Linked DNA regions of Ovis aries. The protein of the gene in region 7 binds, or shares a complex with, the protein of the main gene of each other region. Links are inferred from orthologs where the notes say so. Each region holds a gene or a part of one and is shown on either strand. Other genes may lie near its edges. The genes, in order: ARID1B, SMARCD2, SMARCE1, ARID1A, DPF1, SMARCB1 and SMARCA2.

Region 1 (3,500 bases), on a different chromosome or scaffold from region 7:
ATCTTTCAGTGTCCTTTGTTTTAAACATCTTAACATATGTTAAACAAAATTCAAACATTTTTTTCATTTGAGTCTTTTAAAACATAGTCACTTTGCCTCATGAACTTTTAATTCAATTATTTTAAAACAGGTCGAGTATTTACTTCAAGACTTTTTTCAGGATTAAAAACAAGTAAATAATTGAGGCTAAAGCCTTGCTCTATCAACTTAAATGTTCAGAAATACAATCGTTGTTTTGCTAACTGCCTTTTGGTTTGGACAGAGAGAGACATATGCCCAGAAAAATAAAAGTACAACATAAGAACATGAAGCAATAAACCTCACACGTATACATTTAGACAAACACACACAATACACATATGTGCACATACAAAGTTCCTATTTCATAAGGATTTCTACAGTGAGGTTAAAAACAAAAAAAGGAGGCGTTCTTTTTGAATGTTTAGATTTGGGCCAGTTTCTAGGCTTTATAGTCTCCTGCCTAGGCCTCGCTGTGTTAAATGGAGCCACAGAGGCGCCCTTCACCACTGGCTTTGGGTGGCTAGGTGCGGTGACTCTTCTCAGCCATTTCAAATAACCTCCTATAACTGACTGATTCCTTCCTCCATGTCTCATAGAACACAGTCTATCATTTACTGTTCTGGCCTCTCTGATAGAGAACATGTAACTTAAAAGGGAAGGCCAAGCACAGTGGCCCTCTGCTGCTCTCCACCCCCACTGACGGGGTGACTGATTCTGGCTCCGCGTGTGTGCACATGTCCGCACAGACCGCCCGCCCGATGGCATACCTGCTTTGCGCCGAGTTCGCAGCGGCCTGCATCACTGCGGCAGCTGCCTCCTGTGCCTTACGGTTCACGGTTGGCATTGGTGGCCCCATTCCTGGCCCCCCTTGCTGAGACATGCCAGGAGAACTGGGGGTCATGCTGCTCATGTTTCCAGGAAATGGTCTGTTCTGCATGCCTGTGGATGGCACTCGTCCCAGGGGTATGGTGCCACATGGCTGGCTTGGCCCTTGTCCATGCATCTGGCTGTTGGCATTGACGCCCATGCTGGGCCCTGGGCCGCTGTAGCTTGCACTGGGTACCCCACTGTATGTTGGGGGTCTGGAGTAGTTACCTAAACAAAAATCAAACACAAATTAGAGAGCCTTGTTCTTAATATCTGAACTTGTGAAAACATTCACTGGAAGTACTTTTGGTCCAACAATGTGATCAACACAGAATATTAGTCATTATCCTCATTAACCCTTCCCCATTGGTGTTGACGAGGCTGGCTGTCTCAAAACACATGATCTCTGTACATTCCAAAGGCAAAGAGCCACACAGGACACTGAAACATGGAGAGAAACCCAGGCTGACCTCTGAAACCATCTCTGCATGGATACAGATGGAGTGCTGAGTGGTGCTTCAGCTCATTCAACACCTCAGTTCTTACCAAAATTCAAGCAAAATAATTATTTTAGCCCCCAGTCCCTAGATGTACTCCAATCTGAGACTGCACCAGTACATTACTGCTGCTGCTGCTGCTGCTAAGTCGCTTCAGTCGTGTCTGACTCTGTGCGACCCCACAGATGGCAGCCCACCAGGCTCCCCCATCCCTGGGATTCTCCAGGCGAGAACACTGGAGTGGGTTGTCATTTCCTTCTCCAATGCAGTTAAGTGAAAAGTGAAAGTGAAGTTGCTCAGTCGTGTCCGACTCTTCGCAACCCCATGGGCTGCAGCCCACCAGGTTCCTCTGCCCATGGGATTTTCCAGGCAAGAGTACTGGAGTGGGGTGCCATCGCCTTCTCTACTACATGACAATAAAGTGTTCCGAAGGTGCAAGGAAACATGCACGTGTGGTCAAAATTACCCTTTAAGACCCCACAGGAGGGGCCATGCAGAAACCTGCAATGAGTCCAACCCAGTCGGCTTTTCTCTGGTGTCTAGAGACATTTTTTTTTTTTTTCTTGGCTTGAGCACCAAATAAAGTGGCTGGGTTGTACCCGGCACCATGTCTTTTAAGTAAATTTTAAGCATAAGCATGGCACTCAGCAAAGCAGGATGGTAGCACTACAGGAAGTAGGCAGGGTCTGAGACTGAGATGAGCGTCTGCAATCTCACACCCCCATCCCTGCTCACATGGGGTACATGCTCCTGGAGTAGATGGCCTGGACTAGTTCAATAGTTTTGTTTTCTCTCTCCTTCCACACCTTTTATTTTGGTTGAGGGTACATAAATTACAGTCAAGTAAATTGAAGGCATGTATAATGCCACTTTGATAACAATAACTGCTGAACCACACGCACTATGTGTGAGATATCAGGTTAAGTGTTTTGCATCTATGATTTCATTCATTCCTCCAATAATTATGCGAAATAATGACACGACCATGACTGCATTGACAAAAGAAGAAAATCAAGAACTAGTAGGTTACGATTCAAGCTCAAGCCAAATGATTATGGAACCAATATAATTAACCAATAAAATATGATGCCTCCTAATAAGTGACTGTGGAAATGAAATATATGTAAAAGGAGAAGTGTTTGGAGACTATGGATTAGTGTTTCTCCATCTGTCCTTATCACTTCCTGGAAGAATCTTATCTACATAACGTAACTGTTCTAGGCACAAGGGATGTAAGGTTAAATACAATGCAATCCCTATACTCAAGAAGTTCACAGCGTAAGAGTGTGAGAGTATGTGTGTGTATGTGTGTGTGTACAAGGTGAAGTATCAGGGGAAAGACAAGAAAAAATACAAAAGCAAAAACAGAAAAGATAATGCACTGTAGAAAGTGTAAGAGAAAGAAGAGTAAGTCCTTGTAGGGGAGGGATACAGGGGGTCATCTGTGGAGCGGGGCGGCACTGAGTGAAGGTCTTTGAAAAACCATGTTGGGTCTTGACCCAGGAATCATTGTGGGGCAGGCTCTGGGATCTGGGAGAACTGGGGCTGAGTGAAAACTCTGTGAATATACCAACCATGTGACCTTAGGTAAGTTGTTTTAATTTTTCTTGGTTTCATTCTTTCCTTTAAAAAAGAGGATCCTCTTTATTTTGGTCTACTTGAAGAGTTGCTGTTAGGATTAAATGATGTAATATGTGTGCTGCTGCTAAGTCACTTCAGTCGTGTCCAACTCTGTGCGACCCCATAGATGGCAGCCCACCAGGCTCCCCCATCCCTGAGATTCTCCAGGCAAGAACACTGAAGTGGGTTGCCATTAAAGTGTCTCAAATAAGGGTGCAGAAATGGTCGGGGGTTACTGGTGGGATGAGAGTAATGCAGAAGAGGATAGAGAGCCCCCGTGGGTGAGGCAGTGAACAGCAGCACTGACAGCGAGAGCAAACTTGAGAGCAAGACACTGCTGAGCTGGCGCAGCTGTGAGAAGGGCGCAGAGGGAAGAGGGCCCCGCTCAGCAGGATTCCCAGGCTGGAGCGTATTCTGAAGGTGAGGAGGAGCTTCTTCAGGTTTTTCCAGCAGAAACTGGGATAGATCAGCAACAACAATAAAAGCCAGCAATTC
Region 2 (3,995 bases), on a different chromosome or scaffold from region 7:
GGCCTGGAGGAAGCCTGCGAGGCCCCCCAGCTCGCCCAGGGCCCCAGACTTCTCCCAAGGTGGGAAGGGGCCCCTGGAAAGGCGGCTTACAGTTCCTGCAGTCCCAGCTCAGCCTGGCCAAGCTCCACACCTGGGCTCTGAAGCACCAGTAATTCCTCCTCTTCTAAAAAACAACCCAAGACTTAAAAAAAAATTAAAAAAGAACAGAGCCCTGATCTCTTAGGCTCCCTGACCCCTTTCCTGCAGCAGGGATAGGGAGGCCTGGCTCCACGCCCTGAGCCTCAGATGTGAGCAGTAACCTCCTCTCCCTTAGCCCAGCACAGTCCATGTCCTCAACCGGACTCTGGATCCACCACCCAGGACAGCAGGGGTGGGAGGCCAGTCTGGCCCCTGGTGCCTCTGAAGGCTGGGCCTAAGGACCAAGAAGAAGAGAACCTACCTCTGCAGACATACAAAATATTTTCAACTCTCTGGCGTGAACCCAGCAATCTCTGTTCTTTGTGGGGCGGGGTGGGGGGGGGGGGGCGGTGTAGTGTTTGTTTTTTATTTTAATATTATGTTTTCTTTAAGCTCATTAGTAGACCGTGACCCACAGCTTGAAACACTCTGTAAAGAGGTGGGGTCATCACTTCCCTGCCACCAGTAAGCTCCCCTATTTGCCCAACGTGGGCTTGAGAGCCTCACTCCTGCAGCTCACCTCACATGCCCCAGCAGAGACACACCCCCTGCTCCTCAGATCTCAAGTCCCTTCTCCCAGAAGTCACATAACTGGACTTGGAAAGAGGCCACATAGGATCCTCCTTGAAGTCAGCAGACATGAACTGGGCCCTCCCTCCCCCTACACGTACACACATGCCCCTTCCCTGGAGGAGGAGGAGGCCATGAGAAGCTGCAGGGGAAGCCCAGAGAGGCAGAGGCTCCGTGCCTTCCTCAAGGTCCCCTCTCCTGGAAGCCTGGGGTACCCAGCCAGTTAGCTCAGCCTTGCCACCGGTCCAAGGCCACTCCCTCCAAATCACTCTGGAATCCGTCCTCTCAGGGCTTTCCCCAGGCTTAGGAAATTAGAGAGGCTCCTATCTAGTCCTTGGAGCCTTCCCCGGGGCCAACGGCCCCCAGGGAGGCTCCTCAGCTAACTCACCTAAGAGCTGGAATGACAGACCCAGGGATCCCTCAGTGACACCCTGGGCCCATGAATCCCCTGGAGTGAGAGCAAGATGGGAAAGATGAAAACCAGCTGGAGTCTTGGGGACCAGGTCTGTCTCTGTCAATAGCCAGATCCTTGGTTCAGAGAGAAGAGGGAACATGAGGTGCAAGAAGGAAAAATCACTGTCCCAGTGAAGCATCTCTTCACAAAGTGGGGACCCAGGGCTCCTACTCTATGAGGAACCACTTAGGGGACCTTTACCTGGGTGCAAGAGGGAAGGGAGACATGAGAATCTCCCAGCTGCCCTGAGAGATTAGCAAGACTTCCGTGTCAAGTGCTGGGGCACACAGATTGGAATATGTTGTTGTTTAGAACCTAAAGGCTAATTAAAAGTGGAGAGGAGGGCAGCAAAAAGGATGAGGGCAATTCCCAAGCATTCTGGGGAGAAACAATGAACTTGGGGACTGGTAAGCCCCACCCCCAGTGTGAGGCTGAGTTCCTCACACACTGACCCCACAGTTTCTCCATGGCCTTTGAAGCTGCAACCCGAGAAGTCCTCTGCAAAGCCAGACCCAGAAGGGGTCAGACAGAACCCTTTGAGGCAACTCTCTGCAGGCTCCTCCAGCCCCAGACCAGCAGTACTCAGTGGTGCCTCTCTGTTCCTCCAGACTAATCAACTCCTGGACACTATGACACCAGGCAGAAAGCCAGAAAGTCTGTCCAGAATGGGCTAGGCTTTCCTCCTTCCTCAGGCCTGTCCACCACCCTCTCTGATCTAACCCAGAGGCATCCCTGTGTGAAGGTGCCAGGGCTTGGCCCAGTAGTAGATTCCCCTTGCACGGGCTGCAATCCCCATCCTCTGCCTTCTGTGCCCCTGGGAAGCCAGGCCCTTCTTCCTCCTCCTTAGCAGCTGGGAGCCATCTCAGACACGCTAAAACTCTGCCAGTTCCCAACTAGGGGGAGAAAAAAAAACCCAGAGCAGACTTGGAGTATGACCAAGACCAATGCAGGGTAACCCTGCTTTCTCAATGAGGGCTCTTTCCCAAAACTTTCTCATCACTTCCCAGGACCCTTTACCCGAGAATCTATACTAGATTTCTCATTCCACCCGTCCACAACTCACTAGCTTCGACTACGCCTCCATCTCTCAGTTATTCAGAATCCCCGTTCCAAGGAAGACCCCCAGACGCTCCCAAATGGTTCAAACCCTCCACCCGAGTCGCTCTTACCTTCTCCCTCAAATCCTCCACCACCACCTGGCCGAGCCCGAGGGTCCCTGCCCTTGCCCCCCACCGTGCCCCCCACCGTGCCCCGTGAAATCCGCATGCAGAGCTTCTGTACCCCCTATTCAGGAGGCTGCCCCAGGGCCCTCACTAGAGGCCCCCAGCCCCGGGAGTGCTCGAGGCGCCGCCCGCCCATCCGCCCTCCTCACCTGGTACTGCGCCGCCGGGCCCGCGGGGCCCATGGGGCGGAAGGCAGCGGCCCCGGGGCCCCCCACGCCTCCAGCCGGCCCAGGCCCCCTAAGCGCCGGTCCGGGCAGCATGCCGGGTCCCGCTGGCGGAGGCGGCGCTCCCAGGGCCGCAGCAACCGCGCCGCCGCCAGGGCTCAACGGGGGCAGCGGGAACCCGCCCGCGCCACGGCCCGACATCGCTCCGTCCCGTCCGGCGGTGTCTCGGTCCGGACTCCGGGCTCCGCGCTGAGTTCGCTCCGCACTCCGTGCTCCGGGACTTTCCGATCTAAATTCCGGGTTCTGGGTTTTGTTGATCCGGATTCCGGGCTTTCCTAATCCAAGTTCGCGAGTTCTTCAGAAACCCACTTTGGGGCAGGGCCGATCTTGATTCCGGTCCTGCCCGGAAAATTCCGGATCCGGGATCTGCTACGGGCCCGCTGCCTCCCCGGGCCTCCGGAGGTTTGGCCGCCAGCGTCCAGTTACCCAGAGGCGGTAACTAACTCCCTGCCCCGCCTAACCCAGCCCAGCACCAAGCCCCGCCTATACCTAGTCGCCCAATGCGAGGATGTCTCCTCAAATCCCGCCCCTCGCGAGACCCGCCCCCAACAGGCACCGCCCCTAACCGCCGAGCCCCGAAGCCCCGCCCACATCCCTTGGGTCGGCCCTCCACCGGAGGGGCGGGAGCGGAAGCTGCACACGGAAATGCGGTAGGGGGGGTCAGAGGTCGAAGGTCAGGAGGTAAGAGTACGGTGTAAGAGTAGTTGCTGATTTCTCCTAGGTGCAGCCGAATCCCCGAGGTACCGGGTCACGCTCCCTGAAAATAGTTTTGTCCTCGTTTCTACGTTTTTAGAATTAAAGACAACGAGCTGCTCTCTGCGGCAGGGCAGCTGCCAACTTGACTTTAAAAGCCAGAGCTGCCAGCGGACTTGGCTGCTCCGGACCCGATCCACTGTGTGAAGGATTGAATTGGCCAAGCGCCGAGCTCTTATCGCCTATTTTGAATGTGCCTCTGCCTCCCATTAAGGAAACCTAGTAATAACTTTACTCTACAGGAGATGTTCCTAGGCAAAGGAATTTTGCATTCCGAGAAGGCTCCTAGAGTTAAATAAGGTCTGTCTCCAAGATTTATAGCGACTTTCAAAAGTTCAATAACTTTTCAGAAATCAGCCCTAAGTCAGAGGTACTCAAAAGTGCTTCAGCCTTGCCAGGTGTTCTGTGACTTTCTCTCCATGATTCAGACCAGTGCTCCTCAAACTCTAAGGAGCATAAGAAACTGCTGGGCTTTTGTTTAAAATGCAGACTATGATTCTGTAAGCTTGGGTTCTAGGCTAGGGATCAAGATTCTGCATTCCTAACAAGCTCTCAAGCAATGCTGTTGCTACTCAGTACACTTTGGAGTACCGA
Region 3 (4,230 bases), on a different chromosome or scaffold from region 7:
TTAATAGAGATGAACAAGAAAAGTGTTAAACTTGCCACTTATTTCTAATTAAAAAAAGAACTGAGCATAGGAGGTTGGCATTTCAGTAGTATGTTTCTTTAAATGTTGGGGTTGGTTCAAGGTAAGATGCAGAGTTATTTTATTTAGTAGGAAGTGCTGTTTTTTAGCTGAATTTTTCATCCTGTTGCTGTAATGATTGAGTGACTGTCACTGGAAGACATCTGGGTTTTTGTATCAAGGCCAGACTTGGCTATTACATTAACAAGAAAATTAAAACTTACTGTTGCAGGAGCTGGGGTGGGAGGTGGGGCATAAGATGGTCTTTCTGTTTGAAAGAAAATAAATAACTTCTTGTAAACAACTGAGATATAATACTATGCAACAAAACTACCAATGGTCCTGTTTTGAAGAAAAAAAAATGAGAGTATTTTGGAATTCCCATTTGCTAGGGCATTAGTCTCTTATTAATATAGATTGATAAATATAAAAAATGAAACTTACTTGACATTTTGGAAGATTAAGTTCTCAGTTCCTTAAGAATGAATCTGAGACACTAAAATAAAAAAAAGGAAAAAAAAAGAAAAATAAAGATAATCAAAACTCAGCAAGCATAAGAGAATGTTTTTCTAAAGAATAGGGTAGTTTGATATTTCTTTGTAAAATTACATTATCTTCTAGTAATCAAGCCTTTTAAATATTTTACTAGTTCTTTAGGTCACTCAGTTGATCAGAATTAAATGACTAAAACAAATGACAGGGGATATTAAAAAGTAAAATTAGACATGTACTTGCAAGTTTTTGTTTTTTTTTGATACTGAGCCACCTCTTGTATGGAAAACGTTTCGCTGATGCCATGTAAACATTTAATCAAATCGGTAAAAATACAATGACAAAAGAATATGATGTATTATTGGGGCCTACCTCAACAAGGCCTACCAGACACTGACAGCTCCATGACCAGCCACAGCTCTGCCTTCCTTTTAGGATAACAACTTCTTTCTAGTAAAACAGCATTTTACTCCTGAAGGCAGTGGAAAAGGTAACTGGTGTGACAAGAAACTTCACATTCTCTTATAGGAGTAATGGAGCTTCCCTGGTGGCTCAGCGGTAAAAGAACCCGCCTGCCAACGCAGAAGACTTGAGTTCAATCCCGGGGTTGGGAAGATCTCCTGGAGAAGGAAATGGGAACCCACTCCAGTATTCTCCCTTGGGGAATCCCATGGAGAGAGGAGCCTGGTACCCTATAGTCCATGGGGTCGCAAGAGTCAGACACAACTGAGCCACTAAAAAACAACATGATGGTAAACAGCTTCATAACCGCTGGGAATAAATTTCGAGAGTCTACTGGAAAAAACTCTTATTGATCTTTCTTAGCTCAACTCAAAATATATCTCCTCAATGGAGACTTCTGGACCTATCTGTACAAAATTAAATGTTTCCTCATTTGTACTCCAATTTACACAGATCAATATCATATTACACCTGCTAATATGGGGGCTGAATGGAGACAGGGACCAGCTAGTTCATTATTGCTGTCCCAGTACCTAGCTCAATTTTTACCAACTTCAGTCCTAGTAACACTAGCTCAGGACATGACCACACACACGTGAACTTGTTCCTTACCTCACTATACATTACACACCATGTGTACAAAGAGATGAACATTCATTTTCACAAAAAAGGCAAATAACTTCTATGACTACTAGAGTATTTTCATCCGACATTATGAGAAACAAACATGATTTTTTTTTTGCTCCTGTTTTGTATTTTAAGGGCATTTCTGGAGCATTATGAGTAAGAGGCCTGGTGTGGAAAGAAAGAAATCATTTATTTTCTCAATGGCCCAACCTGGGTCTCCCTCTCTCCTTAAGGTACATGCAGGACACCAGAGTCTAATGCAGATTTCCTTCCTGCTCAAGCTTGGGTGGGCTGTCAACATCCAGTAGGCCTTGCTGTGGGGGGCCCTGATAATATCTGCCACAAGCTCCCAGGTGTGTCACATTTTATTAACACTCTAAAATTACTGGTCTCTTTTGCTATACCATAAATTTCAAGAGTGATCTCGTACAATTGTCCACCACTGTATGCATCTCCGGTGCCTGGCATAAAATCCTGGAGAAGTTATTTGTTGAATACCTTATACGGGACAGGCTTACTACTTTCACACCATCTGGTTTAACAGTCACACTACCAACGAGGTGTGTACTGCTATTGCCATTTTACAGAGGGAAAAAAGGAGTCTCGTTCAGTATAAGTAACTTGGCTCAAGACACAGAGTCAGGAAGTGTCAGAGCTGGGTTTCAAACCCAGGCCAAACTGTTGCCCAGCTTTCGCTTTTCACTCCAAGCCACACCGTGAGTCCTCAGATCGCTGCCTGGGCAAGGGGAAACCATCTTCCTGGGGGTGAGGACCACGGGCTTAGCTTGCCCCAAGGGCTTCCTCTGAGACCGATTCGGTTTGGTTTGATGTGTAGGTGCACTTTACCAGCTACTCTACTGAAGAGGAGCATGCAGAAGCGCCTTGACCACTTCCGTGGGGTTAGTGGAAGGGGCACTTCTGGCCGCCCAAGAGGAGCCCCAGATGGGACTCTCTCCCCACCCTCGCTCCGCTAGGCCTCAAAGAGGCCGCAGCCGGCCCCCGGCCCTGGTCCCGCGGCCAAGCCTGAACCCCAGCAACCCTCAGCAACCCCAGCCAAGCCGGGACCCCACGCCTCTCCACCCTCCCGACCCAGCCGGGCCCAGTCGGAAACACTCACCCGCGGGCAGAAGAAGCGCCCGCAGCTCCGGCCTCGCTTCCCTTTGTCCCGCGCACGCCCCGCCCCTCGCGTCCCGAGCTTCCGCGCTCGCACTTTCAACACTCTTCTTAATTCCTTTCCAGGCCCCACCCGACTCTCTTCAGGAAAATAAGCGTTCTCGTGGGGACGCGGTGGTGTTTAGCACAGTCAAGGATTTTTTTCAGGCTCCATACGCTCCTCAAAACTCCCCGAAAGTCAGTACTTTGCCAGCCGGGCGCCGATTCGTCACTCCGGAGAGGGAGGAGGTGGCCCGGCCGCGGGTAGGCCCGGCCGCGCGGCCCCCAGCGAGCCGGAGCGGGGACGGGAGGCGCGGCGGGAGGCGCGAGGCTGAGCCGAGGGGGGGCGCGAGCGCGGCCTCAGCTTCCCCGCGCGGGGCCGGAAGGCGGCGGGGAGCGCGCCCGGTCGCCAGCCCCGGAACCTCTGTGGCCGCGCGGCCCGCGCACCACCCCGGCCGGGCTCAGGCCGCGCACGCCCCCCGTCCCTGCCCCCGAGAGTTTCTGGGTTTTTTTTCCCTTCCGGTCTTTTTCTTGACTCTTTCTCTGGGAGCTGGAGTGTATATACTTCACCAAGCCGAGGATGGAGGCGTGGAGAGCCGGGTTTACAGTTTCCGTCCTCCTGCGCGCCTCCCAGGGCTTCCTGCCTTAACCGCGGGCAAGAGCTTTGGCGAAAGCAGCGCAGATCTTCCCAGCTGTTCCCAAGCGCAAGGCTGGTGTAATTGTCACAGGTTTCTGAGCCAAGGCCCGGAGATGTAAATCTCCTTGCCCCCGGTTGTGTGTCCCTGCAGCGCTGGGCAAGGGGTCTGTGTCCTAAAGCGCCTTGGCTCATTCGGTTTCCTCTGCCAGGAACGACAGTCCTTCACTTTTGGGTTTAAACTCATCTGTCCTTCCGGATCCAGCTCAAATTCTGTCCCTGATGCCCTCCGGGAACTCCCTGCCTCACGCGCCCCTCCTCCTCCCAAATTAACAATTATGGCCTTTACCTAATACATTGTATCAGACTGTGTTTGTTATTCTCAGTACTCTATGAGAGCCTTGAAAGCAAAAATTCAGCGGTCTGCATTGGTCATCTTCCTATAGCCAGTGCCCAGTAAGGCCTTGAACCATTGTAAGAAGCTCAGTAAATCTATATTGAGGCAGGCTATGGTCTAGTCCAGGACTCTTTTCACTAAATCATGACCACGTTGATGTACTAGATAGCAGCCTCTCCTTGGATACATAAACACTTGACCGACGTGCGCCACTGCAGAGAGGGGAAGGATCTGAAATCACTTGAGAATGGTGTTGACGTTTAGAATGACTTGATTCTTCAGCTACCCTTAGCCACCATCCTGGGTGTGCCAGCAGGGACTAGGGTATCTCCAGAAGTATGCAAAGCCAGGGACAAGTGACCCTCTGTCCAGTTCTTCCACCTCCAATATTTTCATGTTCATGATTAGA
Region 4 (4,023 bases), about 170 Mb from region 7:
AAAGGCAGATAGTGGCAGCGATGGTTTGGGTTATCACTGGCAGAAAAGCAGAGTGTAAAAGTTTATGAGCTCATCAGGATTGTTGTACCATTACATCAGAGGCAATTATAAATGGCCAAGAGCAGGAGATGGGGAGCCAATCAGATCACAGATAGGATGTCAACCTAAGACCAACTGTCTCCTGGCTTTGACAGAAGGATTTTACCTCCATAATTCAAATCCCAAACCAAAGCAATCTGCACTTACTACTCCAATCACTCAGCTGTTTACCAGCACTTCCAGGGAGAAGCCCAGGCCACTGGGCCGACGGAGACTAAGACAGGAGACGACCTGGGCTGCCCAGGGTGAACCGAAGCCGGGCTCTAGCTGCTCCCAAGCAGGCCCCTGCCCTCCCTCGAGGTCCCCCCGAGCCCGAGGGGCCCCCTCCTTGAAAGCACAGATGGGGACCGGCCTAGAGGAAGGTAGGGAGGGCAGAGAGGAGCGGCAGGTGAGCAAAGAACTGTTCACTCAACTCCCGACCTCCGAGGGCTGCCTACACCCCTAACCTGAGCCCCCAACACCCCCTCACCCCGGGCCGGGCCCTTTTCCCGCACACCCGGCTCCGCACCCCTCTGAAGACCCCCCGGAGCTGGAAGGGACCCGGGGAGGAGGAGGAGGGGAGCAGACACCTCAAGGAAAGCCCCACACAAAGGCTGAAGGAGGGAAAGAGAGGAAGGCAGACGGGCAGCCATTTTAAGAGAGAAAGAGCGAGACAATGGCAGCTCCCCAGCAGTGGGGGCCCCAGACTGGGGGTAGCCCACGGCCGTGGCCCGCTCCCCGCCGCCGCCATCCACTCCCAGGACCCCCCCGCCCCACTCGCCACAGCCCCCCCTACCCCACCAGCCGTGTTACCTGCGGGGTCCGGGCGAGCGGCTGCCCCCCGCCGCCGCTGCTCCCAGGGCTCATGGGCGCGTGGTGGCTCCTTTGTTGGGCCCCTCCCGAGGCGGCCGCGGCCGCCGCCGCCGCAGCAGCAGCAGCCCCCCAGCACTGAGAGGCCATGTCCGCCGGGCCCTTGCCGGCGCCCCCGTCCTGGGGCCCGCCGCCGTAGTCGCCCCCGGGGTAGCCCTGGTAGCCCCGGGCCGAGCTGGGCGACGTGAGCAGTTGGTTGAGGGTGGGGGTGGCGGTGGGCTGGGGGGTTCCCCCTGCGGCCGCTGAGGGGCCGCCTCCCCCCATGGCCCCGAAGCGCTGCTGAGCGAAGGACGAAGACGACGAGGAGGCGGAGGCGCTGGAGGAGGGAGGCGGCTTGGAGCCGGCGGCCGCCGCCGCCGCCGCGCCGGAGCCCGGAGTGCCACCTCTCGGGGAGCTCAGCGCGTAGGCCTGGGGGGGCGGGGGGTAGGCGCTGCGGTTGGGGTAGTAGGAGTTGTACTGGTGGTTGGGGAAGCCGTGGTCGTGCGAGTTCTGCTGGGGCCCCGCGTAGGGCTCCAGGCCCCCGCCGCCGCCGCCGCTCTGCAGCGCTGCCAGGCCAGGGCTTTGTTGTCCGCCATGTTGTTGGTGGAAGACGGCGGCCGCGGCGGCGGCGACGGCAGACGGGCTCCGGCCGTAGGGTTGCCCGAAGCCGTAGGCTGGGGGCGGCAAGGCGGCCGCGGCTGAGTGAGGAGGCGCCCCCACCCCGTCGCTGCTGCCGCCGCCACCGCCGCCGGGCGGCTCCGTGAGGTTATTGTTCAGGGCGGGCCTAGGGCCCGCGTTCCCGTTCGAGTTCTTCAGGTCCGGCTCCGCGCCGGGCCCGCCGGCTCCGCCGCCGCCGCCACCCCCATTGCTCTCGGCCCCGTCCTGCAGCTCCTTTCCCAGTGGCTGCGGCGGCCCCACGGCGGGGCCCTCGCTTTCCTGCCCGGCGGCTGCCTTCATTTCCCCGCGCTCCGCCGCGACCGCCGCCGCCGCCTCGCCCCCCGCCTCCTCCCGCTGCTGCTGCTGCTGCTGCTCCGCTTTCTTCAGCTCCGAGGGCGGCGGCGGCGGATTGCCCAGGCTGCTGGCGGCGGCGGGGGCGACCTGCGCGGCCATGATCCCCGCTGTCTCGTCCGCGGAGAGACCCGGCCCTGTCTTCGTCTTCTCTCACCCCCCTCCCACCCCACCCCGCCCCGGGGCCGAGTCCCCCCGGGCTTCCCTCCCCACCCGCCCGGGCGGGCCTCGCGGGGCTCCGCGGCTTTTGCGCTGCGCTCGCTCGCTCGCTCGCTCGCTCGCTCCTCTCCCCCCCGCCCCGCCGGCTCAGGCTCCGGGCTGGCGGCGGCGGCGGAGGAGGAGGAGGCGGCGGCGGCGGCCGAGGCGCCGGCGGCTCAGCTGCTCCCGGCTCTGTAAGCTCGGGACCCGGCTCTCCCGGCTCATTCCCCCCCAAGCCCTTGCCTGGGAATGAGGGGGGCGGTGGAGGCTCCGCTCCCCAGGGCCTGGCCCCGCTGTGACTCTCCGCTTTCTGCTGCCGGAGAAAGGAGGGAGGGAGGGAGGGGAGGGAGGGAGGCGAGGGGGAGGGGGCGGGGAGGGAGGGAGGGAGCGGGGGGAGGGGGACCCGGGACGGGCGGGCTGGAGGGCGCGCGGCAGCAGCCCGGGCGCCGGCAGGCAGAGTCGGAGCGTGGGCCGGGCCGGGCGCCCTGCCTCCCCTCCCCGGCCGCGGCGCCGGGCCGAGGCTGCTGCGCGGCGGCGAGCGGGCGAGCGGGCGGGCGGCCGGACTGAGCGGCTAGAGCGCCCCACTCTCCTCCGAGTCCCCCTCACTCCGACACGAGGCTCAGCACTGCCATTTTACCCAGCGCCGTCGCGGCCGCCTGGCAAACCCGGAACGGAGCGCGGAGCGGGGCGCAGGCCGTGGAACGGACTCGCTCCCTTCCCCTCACAAAGGAGGAGGGGAGAGAACCAGCCGCGGCGGCGGCGGCGGCGGCGGCAAGCGCTCTGCCGCTCTCGCTCGGCAGCGCCGCCGCCGAAGGCTTCGGGGAAAACCCGGCCCGGAGCTCGCGCCTCTCCGGAGCCTGCGCGCCGCCTCCCTCCTGGCCTCCCTATCCAGGTCGGTCCCCTTCGCGCCGCGGGCAGCGTGAACTTTACTCGCGGCTGCAAAATTGGCCTGAGCCCGAGACCGCGGCCGCCTCGGCCCAGGCCTGACCCCCCCTGGCAGCGGGCCTGGTCTCTTGGCCGCTACTTAGCATCTCCGCGGCACTTTTCCTTCTTCAAAGCCTTTTGCAGACCTGCTCCAAAGACCCAGCTGAGCTTTACGTTGTATCCTCTTTGCAAGCTGCATGGAATGACAGATCATTGTTTCAGACTTTCCGTTTTCCCACTCTCTGCCCTCATTAGCCGGTCCTCACAGGCCCTGGGGGCACGAAGTTCCTGATCCCCATTTTACAGACTCATAAGATAGCGAAGGGGACCGGCCTATCACTTAGTCTATCACTTACAAAGACAAGGGCAGTGGAGGGTGACTTTAAAAAGTAGCAGAGTCCCCAGTGCTGCCCCTGTCTACTTAGCGTTAGAAATAATAGTAATAAAAAGAAAAGTGGTGCCATATACAACAGTGGGATCAGAACATCAGAATGGGTTTGAGATTCAAGCTGGTCATCTCAACCGATATAAAATGGTCACCCCTGAAGATATTTTGGGGACATATGACCGCCTTCTTGGAGGAAGACACAAGCCCCACCTTTGCCCACAATGACCAAGGTCCCGTCTCCAAAGACAGTACCTGTAAGACTGTAACAGACCACAGAAGAGACTCCAGGGACTGGTGGAACCTGAGTGTTCAAAGGAACCTCTGCCGAAGAGGGATGACCAAGTAGAGGGAACCGTTTTCTCCTTAAAAAGAGAGAAAAGGTGCAGTCTAACACCTCACTCAGAAAACAGATGCAGCCTAAATTTGTTTTTCTATCCTTCATTGTAAGGAATCATTAAAGTTTACTGTTACATTCTAAGAGATGCTGAATGGGAGATGCTGAGTGAACTGGAGGTATACACAGAAAATTCTAGATTCACAGGCTCCACCACATCTCAGCAGCAGCCTTGTCCTCTGAC
Region 5 (4,207 bases), on a different chromosome or scaffold from region 7:
CACACACACACCTCTAGTCTTAGACGCCTTCCACAGGCTCTCCCCCATCTCTCTCAGGTAAGGCCTTGATCTCCCTCTCCTCAAACCCCCAAAGCAGGGAGTGGGTCTCTGCTTCACATCTGGCCTAGAGCAGATGGCAAGGGGGTGAGGCACTTCACTCTGCGTCACAGATCACACAGTGCCACAGGGACACTGGCACCTCACAGTCACTCTGGCCTCCAGGTCCCCTACAGTGGCTACCCCAATCTCATCCACAGTGAGCCCTGCCCCCCCCCAACCCACCAGCTCAGCTCCAAGAGCCCTTGCCACCTTCCTCTGTCACCTCCCACCAGCCTCCAATACATCCTTACACTTGCTCCCCCACACCTCTAGCCTCAGGTACCTGGCTCACCCCCAGAACCTTGGCATCAGTTTTGCTCAGCTTGGAGCCTGAGTATAGAACACTCCATCAGCTCCCTGGAGGCCCTTGTCCACCAGTGCAATTTGACCCACAGCTGACACCTAGAGAAGGGTCTCTCTCCCCTTCCTTACCCCTAGTCACCCTCTCAGATCCCTCAGCCGCAGTCAAACTCCCATGTCCAAACAGTCCTGTCCCCATCCACCCATGCCCTGTGTGGAAACTGGACCACAAGTGAAATCAACATTGATACTAGACAGTAAAGAATCTGCCTCCAATGCAAGAGACCCGGGTTTGATCCCTGGGTCGAGAGGATCCCCTGGAGAAGGAAATGACAACCCACTCCAGTATCTTTGCCAGAAGAATTCCATGGACAGAGGAGCCTTACGGGCTCCAGTCCATGGGGTCGCAAAGAGTCAAGACACAACTGACACTCTCACTACATTTAGTCAGAGTCAGGCTCAGTACCAAGTGCTTTACAAACATCACAGCAGCAACCATGAGATAATAAGAACTGTAATGATGCCCCAGTTCACAGATGGTAACGCTGAGGCTCAAGGTGGGGAGGTTCCAATACAGGCAGTCAGAACCCTCCAGAGCCCATTCCTAAGGGGACTGGATTCTCTCAGGAGCCAACCCCTTCCCTCCCATCACCTCCTGTAGATCCCTCAGAAGGTGAGTGCAGAAAGGGCTACTGGCACTCCCACCCCCAAGCTTACTCAGGTCTTCAGGCCCCCGCAATGGCTGCCCCACACCTACTCCAAGAGGTCAAAGTGAGGAGGTCTGGATACCTATAGATCCACCAACCTGCACACGAGCCCAGTGCCAGCCAGTTTGAGGGTGTCCCTGATAGGGGTAACACGTCTGTGTTGAAGAATTAGAGCGAGAGGGAGGCAGAAGTGTCACCGTTACACACTGTCTCACGCCTACCCCAACCCCACACACGCCCTCCAAGCCGGCTTGGCTCTCCGCAAAGCCACACGTGTAGGCGCGAGCTTGTAAGGCCCGGCCCCCTCCATGGCCCAACTCCCCCCACCATCAGAAACCCGAAGCTACTGGGGGCCTTAGGTCCGGCCACCCTAGGCACAGCCTTTCCGGAGGGCGGGAGCGGGGGGCGCCCCGAGCCCCTCCCCCACCCCAACCCCCAGCACCCGTAGCTCAAGGTCAAGGTGGCGGAGGCGAGGGGCTGGGGGGAGGGTGGGGGAGGTCGCCCCGGCCCCTTTGTGCGGCGCCGCGGGCGTTCGCCCTCCGCCTCCTCCCCGCCAGGCCGGGGAGCGGGGGAGGGGAGGGCCGCGCGCGCCAGCCGGGGAGGGAGAGCCGGAGCGGCCGCGCGCCTGTCACTCCCAGCCCGCTGTCACCGTTGGGGAAGGGGGCGGGGAGCACTGGGACCCAGGAGTTCGGGATCCCGAGGAAGGAGCGAGAGAGACGGAAAGAGAGGGAAGAAGTGGAGAGAGCGAGGGCTGGCCAGGAGAGGAGACGGCTGGGAGACAGCGTAGGTTTGAACCCAGGCGTCCAGGATGCCAGCCGCGGGGTCCGGGAGGAAGCGAAGCTCGGAGGAGGCACGCGGACAGGGAGAAACGGAGGGAATCCCCGGAGACTGAGGGCGCTCCCAGCACCCTCTCCCGAGGCATCCGGTCCCCAAGGAGACAGGAGATGCTCTCATTACATGTGTACGGGCAGGGAGAGGCAGAGAGCCCACGGTCTAAACTGACCGGAGCGTCGGGGCTTTAGGTCCTGAAGACCCGGGAAGGAAAAAAAAGGGGGGAGACAGCAGGGATCGAATCGGGGACCCCGACGTCTCAGCTCCCACCCTGCGGCCGCGCAGACCGAGGTTCCGGGAGAAAGAGAGGGGAAAGAGAGAAAGATGCTTTTGAGGAGGTAGAGACCTGGGAGACTAGGGTCCGGACTTAGGCATTCATACTCCCAGCCCCAGGCAGGGGCAGACCCGGCGCCCCGAGAGACTCGGAGGAGGAGAAGGAAGCCCCTACCCCCACTCTGGGTGGGGAAACGGCCTCCGCCACCCCCAGCCCGCGCCACATTCCTTCACTGACAGCGACAAAGAGGCGCCCCCGCGACCCTGGAGTGGCTCCTGCCCCCAGCCCCAGGAGGGAGACAGGGGGTGGCGGCACGCCCCGGGGGGACAGGGGGACAAGCTGGGGGGCCCATTCAACTACCATCCGCCCACTGCGTCCCCCTCCCCAGCGAGGGCGGGGGCAGGGTTCGGGTTGGGGGCGGATGGAGGGACGTGGACGGCGGGGACACTCACGACTTGAGCGGGTTCTGAATGGCGGTGGCCATGGCCCGCTCGGCTGGGCCGCCTCCGGCCCGGGGCGCCGCTGCCGCTGCGCGCGGGCCCAGCCCGGCCTGCGCCGCCCGCTCTGCCGCCCAGCGCGCTACGATTTCATTCATTCTTGGGGCTGCAGCGCGAGCGAAGCGGGGCGGGCCGGGGGCGGGGCTCGGCCAATCCCCGCACCTCCCGGCGCACGACGGGACGTGGAGTCTAGGGGCGCTCGGCGGCGCCCGAGGGCGCCCCTGTCCGGACTACACGTCCCAGGGGGCGTCGGGAAAACCGTGTGCCCATTGGCTACTGAGGATACAGGGCGGGACTGGACTCGCCCCAGAGCATCCTTTCCCTTCCCTGGAGTGCTCCCTTCCCAGCTCTGGCTCTCCATCCTTCAAGAACCACGGGCGCGCGGGAATGGGTGGCCGCTGATTTCTGGATCTCCCCTGGGTGTGTGGATGATCCCAGAGTCTGTCGTATATTCTTGTCTTTGCCTACTTCTCTGGTGTCTCTTCTTTTGTAAGCCAGTCTGTAAACAAGCACAGGGGTTAATCCATGCCTTTGTTCATTTATTAAGTGACAGGCACTCTTCTAGGCACTGGGGAAACAACATGAACAACAGATAGAATTGCTGCCCTCAAGGAGGTGAGCTGTGAGTGGGGAAAAACAGATGATAAACAAGCAAACAAGCTGTTAATTTTAGAGAGTGGAAAGTGCTATAAAGAAAGTGGCTTCTCTGAGGAGGTGACATTTGAGCTGAAACCTGAGAAGCTGTCACCATGCAATACACAGAAGCAGGAAAAGCTTGACAAGTTCAAAGATTATTGTGGAAAGCTAGTGTAAAAGAGTCGAGTGAGTGAGGAGGGAGACAAGGTTAGCCAGAGAGCAAGGAACCAGATTATGTAGGGCCTTGTAGGCCATTATAAAGAAAATGGATTTTTGTTCCAAGTGCAATCAATCATCCTTGACTCTTCTTTTTTCACACACACCTCAAGTCCATTATCAAATCCTGTTATCTCTACATTCACAAATAGATCCAGAATCTACTCACCCTTCTCCCTTCACAGCCTCCGTCCTAGGACTCCCTCCTCCCATCATCTTCCCCCTGGACAGTCCCTGACTATTCTCTCCAGGGTAGCCAGAGTGAACTGCGTAAAACAGCTGGCATCACCACGCTGTCTGGCTCAAAACTTCCAATGACTTCTTTCACACTTGGAATGAAGTTCTAAGTCCTCACTATGCTCTCAGGGCCCTACTTAAGCAGATCCCCAACCTCCATCTCATTTCCTCGGTTTATTTAGGCTGTGCTGGGTCTTAGTTGCAGCTGCCAGGATCTTCGTTGTGTGGCATGCAAACTCTTAGTTGCAGTGTGCGTGCTGGATCTACTTCCCAGCCAGGATGGAGCCTGGCCCCCTTACATTAGGAGCACAGAGTCTTACAATCTGGACCACCAGGGAAATCTCCCCACTACATTTCTGATCTCATCTCCCTTCTTTTCCTTGACTAGCTTTGCTGACTTATTAGAAAAG
Region 6 (4,191 bases), on a different chromosome or scaffold from region 7:
GCCCTCTTCTCAGCCTCCCTACTCCTCTTGACAGATGTTCATCAGCTGTAAAGTTCACCCTCGAAGGACCCACTTGTGCTATTTTCCCATGTACCTACCCCACTATAGTATTTTTCTTTTTTAGTTTCTCCATTTTTCATGAGTTTAGAGATTTACACAACCACGGCTGCTGAACAGCGTGAGAGAGCGGCCACAACGTCCCTCCTGCTCCTTGCTGCAGGGGCAGGCCCTTTCGAGTTACCTGGCTTGAGCGTGGTTACCATCTGGGGGTAAACATAGAGTTTCTAGGAGGTTTTTGACAAGACACTGACCCTAATGCCCCCAGTACCACCGTGCAGGTCCTGCAGGCTTCCCAGCCTCCTAGGCCCTTCCCGAGGTCCCTTCAGAACTCAGGGGACTCAGTCTGCCCCCTGGGTTTTCCCTGCACAAGCTTTTGCCCCCTCTGGACCTGGGTTTCCCAAATGGAAAACGAAGGTGTTGGTATGGAGGCCCCCTGGGCTCCCCTCGGCTGTGCCTCTGTGTGGTGATGACAGCTGCCCCTGGGGGGGGCAGGACTGGGGCAGCTGCAGACACCCTCCCAAGGCTGCTACCCCGAGTGGTGTGGGGCGCTGTAGGCACTGCTCTGCCTGGCGTGCCTCTTGGAAACCAGCGCCTGCTGTTTGCCCAGGGAAACCGCCCGGGGGCCAAGCACCCCTGCTGTCAGAAGAGCTGCTGGCTGTGAGTAGATGCCAGTCTAGCCCTGAACCCTGCCCAGGCCTCCTGAGGTCTGAACATTGTAAAGTCAGGCCCCGGACGGCAACTGCCTCTCCCTCCTGCCGTCTGGTCTCCATAAACTGCATCTCAGGACAAATCTTCTCACTCACCAAGACTGCAGTTGTCTTTCTCAGTCTGAGATGTGCTGCAGGGCAAGTTGCAGAAGCTGTCTAGCCTAAGCATCTCATCAGATGCCCGAGACAAGTGCCATGGACACCAGGCTGGAGCCAGAGCTCCTCACGCTCTGCCCACCTGACACCGGGCTCCACCCAGTAAACACAAGCTTGATTTTCAAAAGTACCACCGACTCAGAGCCAGTGCTAAACCAAGCGCTTTTCCTTCCTGCCCGTTAGATCCGGTGAAGGTTTCTTTAGTTAACCTGCCAGTCACCACATGCCGCATCCGTGCCCACAGGCTGGCGAAGACCCTTCTGAGCTGCGGCACGTGGCAGGCAGTGGCGCCTCTCTCCAGTACGGCCAGCTGTCAAGAGGAGCGTTTCTGTGATAATGTGAAAGTACGTTGCATCCGGCCCCGTGTTTCATAAAAACCGGTGAGGAAAGGAAACACAGAAAGTTCTGATGCTACTGACAACATGGGTCTCCTAACTCAATACAAGTCAGACAAGCCACAGGGAGTCACAGGGACTCCCGAAAGCCTCACTGAGTGTGACCATCATGAGGCTTAATTCATTCACAGCGTATTCCATCATGAAGAGGGAAAAAAAATGGTAAAAAAGAACAAAAGAGTGAAATGCGTAAAACTGAAAACTGCTGCCAGGAGAAGCAAGCGTCGGCGGCGTTTGTGACTGCTGTAACTCCCCAAGACCCGCACTCGCCTCTCTACAAAAGGGAGGCACTGCTGCTCGGCGCTTGCACACCTGAACTGCGGATCCGTAATTTTAAAATGTGTGTGTGGACACACACGCACACGCCGGAGACTGCCAAAGGCTGAGGGACACTGGAAGAACTTCGTATACTTGGTGCACACTGCTAACCCAGCCGGCTCACAGTGCTGCAAGGTCACTGTTTAGGTAAGGATGAAGGGGTTCCGCGCTCGTTCCCTCGCACTAACTCAGAGTTAGTCCAAGATAGCCGAAGTGCCAGGTGCCTCCCATTTGCTGATGGATCTAGCTCAGGGCTGGCTGGGCCCTAGCCATCCAAAATCAAGCATCGTTCTCCCAACCTGTCTTCTCACTGATAATGGAAGATCAGAACGCCCACCCGCCCAACTCCAAGTCAAAGAGCACCAAGCGGGTGAGCCCCCGACTAAGCTCGGTGTTTCGAATCAGCGGTTTCAGGATTCCAGCTGGGGCAACGAGGGAGAGGAGGGAGCGTGCGAGGGGTCCAACTCCTCGCCCCGTGTGCAGCAAGGGATAACCCAACACCCCGTTTCTGTACGTCCGGCTGGAGTTGTGGAACTCAGCGCGGACCCGGGGCCACCGCGACCCCCGCGGCCAGGGACACGCGTGAGCGTTCCCAGACTGCGGAGCGCGGGGCGGGGCCTGCTCGACCACGCCCCGATAGACCACGCTCTCGACCCGATCCGCCCACCGCGTCCCTGCGGGACACGGGTGGGCGTGCCCAGACGGCGGGGGCGGGGCTGCTCAGCCACGCCCCAACAGGCCACGCCCCGATGCGCCAGGCCGCGCACGCGCACGCAGGCCCTCCGCGATGAATGGAGACGCGCGTTCCCGGCGCGCAGACCCGCCCCGAGGCTCCCGCGGGAACCGGGCCGACCGGGAGGCCCGGAGGGCAAGGATCGGCTACCTCAGAGCCGATCATGTAGAACTCGCCGTCGTCTTCCAGCTGGAACTTGACGGGCTTCTGCCCGAAGGTCTTGCTCAGCGCCATCATCATCATTGCGGCGGCAGACGCGGGCGGCCACGGCCGGGCTGCGAGGATCGGGAGGGCCGAGGCGGGGCCGGGGGCGCTCCTAGCCCGGGGAAGCCGACGCGGGAGGTGAAGGGCGGGCCGGGCCGGGGGCGCTCGCGCCGCCGCTGGGCTTCTCTGCCGCCGCCGCCGCAGAAGACGAGCAGGCCGCCCTCAGTGCGCAGGCGCGGGCGTTGACGCTGACGCGCGCGTCGCCGCCGCCGTCGCCGCCCTGACAAAAGGGCCGAGCGCGCCCCCGCGGGCCGCTTAAAGGAGCCTCGGCCCGTTTCTCGGCCTTCCCGGCCGCCTCCCAAGTGGAGGTACCAGGGAAGGCCGCTCACGGGCAGAAATAGCAGCCGCCGCCCTGACTCGAGCGGCGCCCTTCCCCGTCTCACAGCCGGGGCTGGCGTGCTGCCCTGGTGAGGAGGCACGAGGCGAGGCCCGGAAGGCCGGGAGGAAGCCAGAGGCTCCCTTGCCTCAGTTTCCCCGCCCAGAGGACGCTGTGCGGCTGAGCACATGGGCGGCCCAGGGACCAGTATCCCAGCTCCGGGCCAGCCCCCCGGCCCCCGTTCCTGTGGCTCTGGGGATGGGGCGGGCATGGGCTGAGACTACCGGGCTTGCAGGATTCCTAGGCCCAGCCGGCGTCTGTTTTGCCCGCTGAGAGCTGGGGAGGAGCGAACGTCCCCGTCCTCTCCTTAACTCTGTGCCCTGTGCCTCCCCCTGCCCTGGGGCGCTGGCAGCCCAGCGGGCCGACACACAGGGAGGCACCCGTGTATCCGGTGGAGCACGGCAGTAGGTCAGAAACGGCCCACTGCTGATGGCTGCCCATGTCAGCACCTGATACCTGGCAGCTATGAGAGGCGCCGCTATGAGCATCCACGTAGGGGGGTGTGTGTGTGTGTAGCGTCTGTGTGTGTAGGGTGCGTGTGTGTGTGTGTATAGGGGCGTGTGTGTGTGTAGGGGCGTGTGTGTGTGTAGGGTGTGTGTGTGTGTGTGTTTGTGTGTGTGTGACTTGCTCCGTCATGTCTTTTTGCACCCTATGGGCTGTAGCCATGGGATTCCCCAAGCAAGAATACTAGAGCGGATTGTCATTCCCTTCTCCAGGGGGTCTTCCCCACCCAGAGACTGAACCTAGGTCTCCTGCATTGCCTGGTGGCTCAGACAGTAAAGAGTCTGCCTGCTCTGCAGGAGACCTGGGTTGGGAAGATCCCCTGGAGAAGGAAATGGCAACCTTCTCTAGTACTCTTGCCTGAAAAACCCCATGGACAGAGGAGCCTGGTAGGCTACAGTCTGTGGAGTCGCAAAGAGTCGGACACGACTGAGTGGCTTCACTCACTCCTGCATTGCAGGCGGATCCTGGGCTCTCTGAGGGTGGCAGGCAAGTAGACCCCAGAGAGTGAGGAGTCGGCCACGGTAACCTTGAGTTCGGTTCTGTGTCCTGACAGTGGCAGGATCGGAAAATGTGAGCAGCGCTTGGTGGACGATGGTCTGAGAGGCCGCTGGGGAAATGGGGAGCAGACTGAAGCCACTGTAGGCCTTCAAGCAGGACGAGATGGAGCAGGGGGGCCCC
Region 7 (3,500 bases):
TGCGGCTGTGGCTGCTGCGGCTGAGGCTGGGGCTGGGGCTGTGGCGGCGGCTGTTGCTGCATGCCAGGCAACGTCCTTTTCCCCTGGACTGCAAGCTGCAGTGTTTCAGGGAGGGGCTGGCCCCGGGCCAGCATCTTGTAAGCTAAAATCTGGGCTCGGAGCTGATGCAGCTGGACGGGACTGAAAGGAGAGGGACCCCTGTTGGGCTGGTTCATTGCCTGAGGGTCGCCTGGGATGAGGGGTCCTGGCTGGCTCGGTGGCATCTGTGGTGGGGTCGGGCCGCCTCCTGATATAGGGCTGGACACGTGCTCTGGGGCTCCCAGCGGAGATGGGTGCGGCGACATGTAACCTGGAATAAAACACAAAGGGAGAGGTCACAGGCTGCCCCCCATGACCCTGAAAGAGAAACATTCCTGGAGATCCTGACGATTTTCCACAACAGCATTGACTGAGAGAAATTTAAAGCACATGTAACTTAATGGGATTATATATAATTTAAAATTTATGTATATCAAATATATATATACATATAAAATTAAAAGAAACAGACAAAATTGTAATAATATATAATTTAAACCAACATACCCCTAATATTATCATTTCAAAGAATAAAAATTATTAGAGATTTTACATTTTTGTTTCCATATTAAGTTACTGTACATCTCCAATGGGACTAGTCACATTTCAAGCAGTGGATAGCCCGATGTGTCCTAGAGGCTTCCCTGATAGCTTAGCTGGTAAAGAATCTGCCTGCAAAGTAGGAGACCCTGGTTCAATTGCTAGGTCAGGAAGATCTGCTAGAGAAGGGATAGGCTACCCACTCCAGTATTCTTGGGCTTCCCTTGTGTCTCAGCTGGTAAAGAATCCGCCTGCAATGCGGGAGACCTGGGTTGGGAAGATACCCTGGGGAACGGAAAGGCTACCCAATCCAGTATTCTGGCCTGAAGAATTTCATGGACTGTATAGTCCATGGGGTCGCAGAGAGTCAGACACGACTGAGCGACTTTCACTTTCACTTTCACGTGTCCTAGATGGTGACACGACCTAGTAGTGGCTGTTGTACACCTAGAGGAAGGGCACAGGGGACAGTATTATACATTAAAAGGAGCTCCAACCTAGAGACCAGAACTTGAAGCTCTCTGCTGTACTGCAGTGCAGAATGAGGACTCTCTTACGGGGATATTATTTGGTTTATTATTATGCACTTTATGAGTAATTTGCCATTATTGAGGGCCTCCATGGTTGTAGGCACTAAGCAAGGCACTGTACATGCTATTTTAGCCAAGTTTACCCTGGAATCAGAGCCTGATGGAAAGACTGAGTGCAGCTGATTTATCTGAAAGGTGCAGGGATACTGACAAGAGTGTGGAAAGGTAAAATAAGGGAAGGAAGCCAACAAGGAGTGTATGGTTAAGTCAGTTGCTGTAGTGCATGCCTGAAGATTAATCTCATGCTGTGTGTGTGTGTGTGTGTCTGTGTGTCTGTGTGTGTGTGTCTGTGTGTGTGTCTGTGTGTGTAAGGTGGATGCCGGTAAATCAAAATCAAGATGGTGGTCTGGCCAGTAGATATAAGGATGATGGGAGCACAGAAATGGTAAGAAGAGTTAGAGGATACATTTTTTTTTCTATAGTCCTCACAACACTCCCAGAAGATACGTGCTGTCGCCTCATTTTTTAAAATGAGAGTAAGCACATTACACCATGTCACACAATTAGATCTTGGTAACCAAGATTCACCTGATTCCAAGGCATATGTTCTTTCCATGGTCTAATATTAATTTTGTTGTAGTAATATAAAAATAAGTTAAAGGCTTGAAAGCTTCCAAAATCTTCTAGAAGCATTTATGTGCTGCAAGCTAAGTCTCCTCAGGTGTGTCCAACTCTTTGTGACCCTGTGGACTGTAGCCCGTCAGGCTCCTCTGTCCATGGGATTCCCCAGGCAAGAATACTGGAGTGGGTTGCCATGTCCTCCTCCAGGGGATCTTCCCAACCCAGGGATCAAATCTATGCCTCTTACGTCTTCTGCACTGGCAGATGGGTTCTTTACCACTAAGGCCACCTGGGAAGCCCAGAACCATTTACAATGTAATATAAAAATGAAAGTAATCTGTTTGGGTGATAAAGAGACTTAAATGGAAAACTTAAGAATACTTAAGAAAGAAAAGTCAAAATGCAATAAAATTTTCAAGAAACTTATTTCAAGAGATGAACTGTGGAGTCTGGCCAAAGAATCCCTAGAAAAATATAGGACTGCACATTGCTGAAGGGAGATCCAAGAGGAAGGAGAGGACAGAGTGGTTTGCTGTACCCCAAAACATTGTCTTCCATTCAAATTGAGGGCTAACTCATCAACTCAAAGGCATTCTAAGACACAATGTAAAACATTAAATTAAAGGTCTTTGCCATTAATAAATCCACCTGCATCACAATTATTTTAAAGGTCATCACATAGGTGTTTATTAGGCATCTGCCGTGTGTTTCAACACTTAATCAAGTTTGAGCTGAAGCTGCACTCTGTGTCTATGTGGAATTACAGAGGCTCACGAATATCTGACCCACGCTGCCTGGGGACTCAACATCATCATTTGAAAGACTAGAGAAAATAAAGGATACAGTTCCTTTTATCTCAAATTGCCATTTGGAGAGGGAAACAAATTTAGCCTGATCCCCTAAGACAAGAGTAGGTTTTGTTCTATCAATTGGTGAGATGTAGAACTCCATTCTGAGTAATCCTGCCCTGAAGAGAAATGGAAAAGCTGCTCACTCTCATTTCCGAAATCCCTACTCTGTAATCGAGCACAAAAATCATGAAGGCATTAGGGTTCTAGTTGATCACAGAAGTTAGCCTAAGAAAATGCCCCTGCAATCAGCCCGCTCATCTGCAAGATGAGCAGAAATTCAAATCCCAGGATGTTATTTATAACAATAAACATTTTTAAGTATCAATAACATATACTTAACTTCATCATTAACGGTTTTCCTTCTTAACGAGGTTAAAATTCACCTCCAAATTGTAATGCTGGTGCAAAATGGTAGTTTGTTCATTATGAAAGTACCTCCCTAACACCTTTCTGCCAACTTTGCATCTATCACTGGAGGAAAAACTTCCTACTATAGCTACTGACATTTCATGGGAGAAGGGATACAACCAGGTGTTAAAATGGGTCACGTCTCCTGCCTTCTGGACTGTCCTCTTTCCTAAGGTCGTCACCAATTATAGCTTACCCGTGATAAATCACACGATGCCTAATACAACTGACCAAAACATTAGACAATCTAATCTAAATGTAATTGTGTAACACACTTCATCAAATCGCTCTTTTCAACTATGTCTCCTGGCATGGCAAAATTATAAGGATGAGACACTTAGTTGTACTAAGTACAATAATTCGTTTTACCTCAAAGTTGCTAAGAAAGAAACTAAGAGTGAAATAAAAATCATTTTCCAGAATTAATCAATACAACAAAATCTTCCCTCAAATGTGGTAAGAAAAAAACTAG

The links.
Region 1: SMARCA2 (region 7) and ARID1B share a complex: the UniProt entries of both Homo sapiens proteins name them as parts of the neuron-specific chromatin remodeling complex. The link is inferred for Ovis aries from reciprocal best matches to the Homo sapiens genes SMARCA2 and ARID1B.
Region 2: SMARCA2 (region 7) and SMARCD2 share a complex: the UniProt entries of both Homo sapiens proteins name them as parts of the BAF complex. The link is inferred for Ovis aries from reciprocal best matches to the Homo sapiens genes SMARCA2 and SMARCD2.
Region 3: SMARCA2 (region 7) and SMARCE1 share a complex: the UniProt entries of both Homo sapiens proteins name them as parts of the BAF complex. The link is inferred for Ovis aries from reciprocal best matches to the Homo sapiens genes SMARCA2 and SMARCE1.
Region 4: SMARCA2 (region 7) and ARID1A share a complex: the UniProt entries of both Homo sapiens proteins name them as parts of the neuron-specific chromatin remodeling complex. The link is inferred for Ovis aries from reciprocal best matches to the Homo sapiens genes SMARCA2 and ARID1A.
Region 5: SMARCA2 (region 7) and DPF1 share a complex: the UniProt entries of both Homo sapiens proteins name them as parts of the neuron-specific chromatin remodeling complex. The link is inferred for Ovis aries from reciprocal best matches to the Homo sapiens genes SMARCA2 and DPF1.
Region 6: SMARCA2 (region 7) and SMARCB1 share a complex: the UniProt entries of both Homo sapiens proteins name them as parts of the BAF complex. The link is inferred for Ovis aries from reciprocal best matches to the Homo sapiens genes SMARCA2 and SMARCB1.

What each region holds. Positions count from the first base shown.
Region 1 is NC_056061.1:81,522,612-81,526,111, reverse strand, and holds part of ARID1B (AT-rich interactive domain-containing protein 1B), read right to left. Parts: intron 1,117-3,500; coding exon 789-1,116; intron 1-788. UniProt on the Homo sapiens protein: Involved in transcriptional activation and repression of select genes by chromatin remodeling (alteration of DNA-nucleosome topology).
Region 2 is NC_056064.1:47,814,647-47,818,641, forward strand, and holds the start of SMARCD2 (SWI/SNF-related matrix-associated actin-dependent regulator of chromatin subfamily D member 2), read right to left. Parts: upstream 2,801-3,995; 5' UTR 2,790-2,800; coding exon 2,574-2,789; exon of another isoform or gene 2,371-2,573; intron 1-2,370. UniProt on the Homo sapiens protein: Involved in transcriptional activation and repression of select genes by chromatin remodeling (alteration of DNA-nucleosome topology).
Region 3 is NC_056064.1:40,602,566-40,606,795, forward strand, and holds the start of SMARCE1 (SWI/SNF-related matrix-associated actin-dependent regulator of chromatin subfamily E member 1), read right to left. Parts: upstream 2,801-4,230; 5' UTR 2,756-2,800; intron 554-2,755; 5' UTR 509-553; coding exon 502-508; intron 326-501; coding exon 282-325; intron 1-281. UniProt on the Homo sapiens protein: Involved in transcriptional activation and repression of select genes by chromatin remodeling (alteration of DNA-nucleosome topology).
Region 4 is NC_056055.1:240,201,273-240,205,295, forward strand, and holds the start of ARID1A (AT-rich interactive domain-containing protein 1A), read right to left. Parts: upstream 2,801-4,023; 5' UTR 2,038-2,800; coding exon 892-2,037; intron 1-891. UniProt on the Homo sapiens protein: Involved in transcriptional activation and repression of select genes by chromatin remodeling (alteration of DNA-nucleosome topology).
Region 5 is NC_056067.1:47,416,709-47,420,915, forward strand, and holds the start of DPF1 (zinc finger protein neuro-d4), read right to left. Parts: upstream 2,801-4,207; 5' UTR 2,696-2,800; coding exon 2,664-2,695; intron 1-2,663. UniProt on the Homo sapiens protein: May have an important role in developing neurons by participating in regulation of cell survival, possibly as a neurospecific transcription factor. Belongs to the neuron-specific chromatin remodeling complex (nBAF complex).
Region 6 is NC_056070.1:71,287,378-71,291,568, reverse strand, and holds the start of SMARCB1 (SWI/SNF-related matrix-associated actin-dependent regulator of chromatin subfamily B member 1), read right to left. Parts: upstream 2,801-4,191; 5' UTR 2,613-2,800; coding exon 2,520-2,612; intron 1-2,519.
Region 7 is NC_056055.1:70,296,004-70,299,503, reverse strand, and holds part of SMARCA2 (probable global transcription activator SNF2L2), read right to left. Parts: intron 350-3,500; coding exon 1-349. UniProt on the Homo sapiens protein: ATPase involved in transcriptional activation and repression of select genes by chromatin remodeling (alteration of DNA-nucleosome topology).